Arabidopsis thaliana: one gene and its partner. The protein of the gene in region 1 interacts with the protein of each later gene in a pairwise test. Each region holds a gene or a part of one and is shown on either strand. Other genes may lie near its edges.

Region 1 (3,756 bases):
TTCGGGAACAACTCATTTCTAATGAAATTTTAAAGCTTGGCATTATGTAAGAACACATATATATTTCAGATTAGGTTTTCGTTTGACTGACGAGAAACAAAATAAAGAATGTGCAAGAAAAATTGGTATACAAATTATTTAACTATTTTTACAAAACTGTGTAATCTTCCAAACCTAATTTCAATGATATTATACTTCTGGTGACGTGAACGTTCTCGTAAAACAAAAAACAAAAATCATCGAAATTATACTTACGGACAAAGAGTTATGGACTATCTATTTTGGAAGGAGAAAAAGAGAACCATCAGAAATTGCCTACAAGAGAACCATCAATGATAAACTCAGATTTTGACTTTTGTACCCGAAAGAGAAAGAACCATCAATGAAACTGCTTGCGCGTTAGTCTCCCAATATTTTTCCCAGCTTTGATGTTTCCTTAAATTCCTTTTTGGGCAAGGTTACAAAGAACTAGGCTATGCTATATTGTATAATCTAAGCTTTTCACTTTGATTGATTTCATATCAAAAAAAAAAAGAAAGAAAGAAGGAGCATATGTGATGTAATTGGAGAGTTGTTTAGACTAAGAGAAAAATGTATTCAGTGGAGGCTAAAGAAATTCTTCTCGAAATCTGATGCAAAACCCATAACTGAAAGAAAAGAAGAAGAAAGAACTCTTTGAATTAGTTCCCGAGCCAAAGATCATATACATAACCAGAATTACGACGAAGGAGTTACGGATGTTTAGGACGAGAGCCAAAGATGTTCTAACAATATGTAACCAAATGAAGACTTTCCAAATATTAAAAAGAGCCCTTATGAGATAAAAAAAAAAAACTTTGTTGGCCTGTTTTTCAATGCCCAAATATAGCGATCAAGATTTTGAGATGAAAGTTATGACCATTAAAGGAGTATATATATCCAATTGTCCATACTAGCCAGCGACCGTGAATGCTGCCCAATAACCAACAAGCCAAAATGACCATTGTTTACAAATGTCTTTCTCATTTGCTGTTTTCCGACAGATAGAGTAAGTGTATATATAGAATAGTACTGAAAGAGAGGGCCGGGGGACTTATATACGTTTTGAGGAAAAAGATAAACAACATTAGAGTAAGAGCGAGATATATACACTTATATAAAGTCATGTCTATAAGAAAGTTCAAATCCAACTTAAAAATATATACTCACAACAAATAAAAGTTACATCACTTCGATTATTTAGAGTTTATAAAACTAATTAGAAACCGAACTCTTTTTTTCTTCAAGGTCGTGTTTTGGTTTTAGGCTTTTAGCCCTAATTTACAGGTCTTTCTAAGGCTAAATCTACTATAAAATGTAATTGCATGCCTAGGGTTCAAACATGAAGTCTCCTCTCCCTCAAATAATGTCAACTTGGAAGACAACACGATTGTCTCCCTGTATTACATGTCTACCGAGAATAGATGTACAATGTAATTTCATGGATTATGTTTAACCCGATAATAAATTGGTGTGGGATGTAATGATTTATTTTCTTTAATTTAAGAAATTATAAGAGTTGACACAATAAAAATTAGAGAAAAAAAAAACATGGCTTTTCTTTTTACTTTATTTATTTACCCTGCTTCAAAACACAAGAGAATAAGAGAAAAGTGTATTTTGAAACGTTTTTGAATGTTAGTTTGGTTTTGTTTGATTTATAGTACTGTTTAACATCAGAAAAGACAAATGAGTTTAAAAAAATAATACCAAAAAAAGAATTTACTAGATACAATTTTAAAGTGGAAATATTTTTAATAACTTGGATCCTCGTCTAATTTATTCATAACATTTATGTGATATATTATATATATAGGAAATGATTTATTAGATAGTTGACTAAAACTATATATTAGATGCTATTATTTGCATAATTCATATAGTTATTTATTATGAAAAAAGAGAAGAATAATCAGTTATGTAAAAGTAGAATTTTTTTTTTTTTTTTAAATGTTATCGGAAAAACTGTATACAGTAATAAAAAAGAGAAAAAAAAAAAAAACCATATCTTTGTCGATGGATTAAAAACAACATTTTCATTACGCAGCGCTTCTTCGCCCTCAGATTCTTCTTCACCTTGAAAGACCATTAACATCATTCCTTGCCCAGATCCAAACAATGCCATCTCCACTCTCTCTATTTAGGGTTCTCTCCAACTTTTCAAATCCCTAATTCTTGCTCCCTCCCTTCAATCAATTCCGATCATCATCGAGGTCTCTCTACTCCCCGAATTTAAAGATCAGAGCCGCGACTTCCTCTGCCTTCTTTTCCTCGGAATTTTTCAGCTACGTTTTCCAGGTGGTGTGTATTGTCAATCAGTTGACCTTTGCTTTTGTAGCCAGATCGTTCGTGCTTTGAGTTTAGGGCTCTTTTACAAGGTTTCGTGTTGGTGGAATTTCTCTACCTAGGTTTGGGGGAAGAGTTCAGTAATTTCGTTGTAGATCGTGATTTGGGCTTTTAGGGTTTCGGTTTACTGGTTGCTGGAATTTATGGTAGCGTTATTGAATTCGGACTCTCTGCATGTGTAAGCGTTGAAGTTTGAAGTTTCACCGGGTTTTGTTTCTTCTGCTGAAGAGTCGAGATTATTTTACGCATTAAGAATCGATTCAGAAGGTTTTTAGGAATTAGTTTCTGTGGATTGTAACTATATAACTACTGGGAGGGGATGTTTGGTTCTACATTGGATAGCAGCCGTGGAAACAGCGCTGCCTCAGGGCAGCTTCTTACTCCGACACGCTTCGTGTGGCCTTATGGAGGTAGAAGAGTCTTCCTAAGCGGATCTTTCACCAGGTGAGATGACTGAGCTTGAACTAGGATAGTTTACTTTATATTTCAGTTAAGCTATTTATCGGGGTTTGTGTAGAGTATGTGCTCTGTATAGTATCTATCGGGGTTTTGCAGTCCATGGACTGATTTCTGAAATGGGCATTTGAACAGGTGGACAGAGCATGTGCCAATGTCACCGCTCGAGGGCTGCCCTACTGTTTTTCAAGTCATTTGCAACTTGACGCCAGGATATCATCAGGTTAATAATCTTGTACTCGACCTGTATCATGGCAAATTCTTTGTTAATTAATCCCTGCAGAAGCATTTATGTCCTTGTAGTGATTTAGCGATGTCCATAATTGTGCTTCATTTAGTCTCTGGATACTTAACCTATGCAATGAGAATCTTATATACCTCTGTCATATTTGTATGACTGTGGCTGAAAATTGCAAATTTCCTTGCTAATTGATCAAAATTTGACTTTATACATCACCATCCACATAACAAAAGTTGGGGTCTTCATGCTGTGTGATACCTAAATCACTTCTTTTAATAAAGGCTACAGTGTGTGTATAGAGATTCATATATTTTGGCAGTTGGATGTACTATATATAACAAGATTTTAATTATTACAATGTGAGATGCTTAAGAAGCCACTAATGTTACATTTATGTTATTTCATTCTCATGCAGTATAAGTTTTTTGTTGATGGGGAATGGCGGCACGATGAGCACCAACCATTTGTAAGCGGAAATGGTGGAGTAGTGAATACAATATTTATAACTGGGCCAGATATGGTTCCTGCTGGTTTTAGCCCAGAGACACTGGGCCGGTCGAATATGGATGTGGATGATGTCTTCCTGCGAACGGTAAGGAATCTGACCTTTCCTTTTCCAAAATGCAGTGTTTATTCTCGCTGCTTGATGGTTCAGGTTTCCCGAGTTGCTTCCAGTTTGGTTTCTTTAATTTTGA
Region 2 (3,756 bases), on another chromosome or scaffold:
TTTGTATCAAATTATTTTTGGAAACATGATTTTCTTTCAAAATATTTTACAAACCAAAAAGACAACTAGAAGTCTGAAGTCTTTAGCGACAAATACATTTGTTAATTAAGATTCTGTGACATCATTAATAGTTTAACATGTACCTTATAATAGTAACCAGTTATTTTCTTATGCTCGAACAATCAAAATAAATTTGTCAATTTGCCAAAAAAAAAATCAACATTACAATAAGATAAATTTAAATATGAAAATCAACTTAAAACATGTTAATGTTTATATGCATATTTCACTAAAGTTAAATCTAAAATAGTATATTTACAGTGATGATGAACACGATTTAATAATTATACGATATCCAGATAATGTAGACTAAGTAAAGAAATGAAGTGAGCACAATTGTAATTTTAAATTTAACATGTGAATAAATTGTACAAAAAACATCTATTGATTAATATTCGATAAATTAGTAATCACTATAAATTAATAAAAAAATTTGGTTTCTAGTCAAGTGAATATAATATTTAACATTATTTGATAAAATAAATAAAGTAATAATTTATTCAAAAATCCTATAGAAATATATGGTTTCATTAGTATCATAAACTAAGAATTGTATAAACTTATTAATATCAATATATGTAAGAAAATTTAGTAAAATATGATTTTAGTATTGTTTGGTTTTTTACGCAGAGTTCAATTATATTATTTTACTACATCAATTTTTTTTGTATTGTTTTGCAGAGTTTAGTTATATGAATTGTATCCTCATCCTGTGTGAAAACTCTAGAAATTGTGTAACCACATCCTTCAGCTTTCTCCTCAATTGATCCGTTCAAATTATGTATTAATGATGTAGCTGCTTTAATTGAAGTCCTAACAATCTACACCCCAAATTCTCAATGATATGTTTGGGATTGTAGTTGGGGATGGACGAAGGCCAACCCGCTGCTCCAATCATAGCACTACGAATGGTGGAAATGTCAAGAATAAACCACTCGGGCTCAATATCGTCCACATTCTCATTAAGATAACTTAATAGGTCGTCATCGTCTTTAAGAAACAAGACTCTAGTTATTGATGAGCGACTGTTAATTTATAGAAGTTTTACTTATTTTAATTTTACATTATACATAAAAAAAATCACGTCATTGTATAAAATCCACTAAGGCGCGACCTGAATAAACTTTAGAAAAAATTTCAAATCCGTATAACTGCATTTCGTCTCATTCACAGTTGCATGAACTCTTATCATACGATTGTGCCATGCCATATTAACATCGTTTATCATCCAACAATAGTGGTGGAGTTACTTTCTTATTGAGTTCAATATACTAAAAAGGAAAACACATAATATAATTTTTTCTTTTAAAAGGCATTTTTATTATTATATGTATATTATTAGAAAAAAGTATGATTAAAAAAATTAAAAAGAAATGTAAGTAACAACATTTAACGGATTTTTTATTTATTAAAGATAAGCTTCGGTTAGGATACAAAATACAAAGATTTGCCAAACTAATTTAGATATTCTTCAATCTTTTGATGAGCTTCAAAGTAATAATTACTAATTAATTTACTGAATGAAAACAGTAATTTGTTAATTTTTAATTACTTGTGATAAAAAAATAAAAAAAAATTAATAATTACTTAAATTGTCTATATGTAATGGGAGTTTTTTTTTTTTAACAACTTCTTTTAAGTAAAATCACTAAATATATTTTAAAAAAAACAATACCGAAGCTGACTCAGCATCCACGTAAGCAAAACCAAAACAAATTATAGACATTATTATGATCGGAGTTGACTCAAAATCTTCGTCGACGACTTTTATCGAAACAATGGTTGAATCGGAGAAAACGAAACACACTTGTCTCCGTCTCGAAATCTCCGGCGCCGATCCAATTTTCGTCAAAGGCACTTGGCATAATTCTCGTTTCGATATCTCCGTCACCGATGGTTCCTCCTCTTGGATTTGCAATGGTAAACAAAAAAACCCTAAATTCACACTATCACTTAGCCTCTAGCGTTTTTCGAATCTGATTTTTATTTTGGTTTTGCTCGAAATTGAAGCGACGGAGGAGGAAGTGGCGGAGAGAGCAGCACAATGGGACCAGCCTGTGTCAGAGTATTTAAAGCTCGCCGAGCAATACTTAGGGTTTCAACAACCTAATTCGGTCTATAGTTTCTCCGATGCTCTAGAGGGATCTAAACGGGTCAGTGATCTTCTTATTGGATCATTCGTTAGTGTTTTGAAGTAAGCCTGAGATTTTTGGATGTTGTTGTTGTCTTTGATTGTGTTTTGGTTAAAGCTCTCTTGGACGTTTGAGAAGGAAGGGACTAAACTTGAGTGGAGGTGGAAATGTAAACCATCAGATGATAGCAAGAAGATCACTGTTGGGATCTTGGATTTTCTTATGGAGGCTAACATAAGGCTAAGTGTATGACTCTTATACTGTACGTTCTGAATTGTGAGGATTTGTTGTGATGTTTGAGAATGATGATGAATTAGAGCTTAAGTTCTTTGATCTATGCTTTGTTAGAAATGGCAATTTGATTTGTGTTTGGAAGATATGTGTCAATCTCTCAATACTTTAGTGTTTACACAGGAAGAAGTGGTGAACAAGACGAGATCTTTTGAGAAGATGAGAAGTGAAGCTGAGAGATGTCTAGCGCAAGGTGAAAAACTCTGTGACGAAAAAACAGAGTTTGAGAGTGCAACTTATGCAAAGGTATGAATTATTCGATCACCTTGGTTACTCTGCTTAATATCCACATCGTGGTTTGTTCTTGCTTAAACTAGAGTCATTGGTTTTTATGATCTGTTAGTTACTTCTTTTTTTTGTCAATGCAGTTTCTTTCTGTTTTAAATGCAAAGAAGGCAAAACTGAGAGCACTAAGGGACAAAGAAGATTCAGTGAGAGTAGTTGAGGAGGAAGAGTCGACAGACAAAGCTGAAAGCTTTGAGAGTGGAAGAAGTGATGATGAGAAGAGCGAGGAAGAAGCCTCAAAAAAGGCAACAAGCAGCAAAGCCCGTGGCGGGAAGAGAGCTGCACGAAGCTAAGAGATTGCCCTGCCGTGAGATTTTCAGGTCAGAGTTTCCATTCCAAGTTTTGTCAAACTCATAGCTAGGAAAATTGTTTGTCAAACCTTCTTTGGTTTAAAAAAATAATTTACAATTTGTATTACTTCTGAAAGTAAATGCAATAACTTAGAGATGGCATGATTGATTGTTAGAAAGCTTCAAGCCCCAAATTGTGATAACTAAGAAACATAGACCATCACACGAACCATATTTTATTACCAAATGGTGAGAAAATATTACAAACATAAAATTACAAAGCAAAAGAAAAAAAATCACAAAGACAAACACATGACGAGGTAGTTTCTCGACAACAACTTAGATGAATTTTTAGAGGAACTGTGAGAGATAGTGTTAAGAAGTACCTATGGTGGTTTTGCGCTTGTTTCGACAAAATTTCGCCATAAGCCACTTGTGCTTGTATGAAGTGAAAATATGTCCAATCACTAATCCACAAAACACACCAGGTCCAAATGCTATTGCAGCTGCTATCCAGTTCAGAACTGTCTCTTCCGGTTCCAACAAAGGTTCCTCGGGGTGCAGCGATGTAGGTATGGGGACATGGGTTTCTCCACAAATTTGATCGAGTCCATAGAGTCTGGGATTACCCATGAATGAAGAACAATTTTGACTTCCAAACTGTGTGCTTTGTGGCACCAATCCCTCTAGATGGTTGT

The links. Proteins that work in one complex are often made in the same cells at the same time.
Region 2: the proteins of SNF4 (region 1) and XRCC4 interact in a two-hybrid assay, tested with the Arabidopsis thaliana proteins (one study listed by BioGRID).

What each region holds. Positions count from the first base shown.
Region 1 is NC_003070.9:2,903,140-2,906,895, reverse strand, and holds the start of SNF4 (sucrose nonfermenting-like protein), read left to right. Parts: upstream 1-2,033; 5' UTR 2,034-2,683; coding exon 2,684-2,808; intron 2,809-2,955; coding exon 2,956-3,043; intron 3,044-3,476; coding exon 3,477-3,653; intron 3,654-3,756.
Region 2 is NC_003074.8:8,218,931-8,222,686, forward strand, and holds the start of XRCC4 (DNA ligase IV-binding protein), read left to right. Parts: upstream 1-1,751; 5' UTR 1,752-1,790; coding exon 1,791-1,980; intron 1,981-2,070; coding exon 2,071-2,213; intron 2,214-2,309; coding exon 2,310-2,438; intron 2,439-2,606; coding exon 2,607-2,729; intron 2,730-2,851; coding exon 2,852-3,061; 3' UTR 3,062-3,088; exon of another isoform or gene 3,089-3,218; intron 3,219-3,433; coding exon of another isoform or gene 3,434-3,756. Other genes in the region: RLP37 (receptor like protein 37), read right to left, coding at 3,434-3,756. UniProt on the Arabidopsis thaliana protein: May be involved in DNA non-homologous end joining (NHEJ) required for double-strand break repair. May bind to DNA. The LIG4-XRCC4 complex is probably responsible for the NHEJ ligation step, and XRCC4 may enhance the joining activity of LIG4.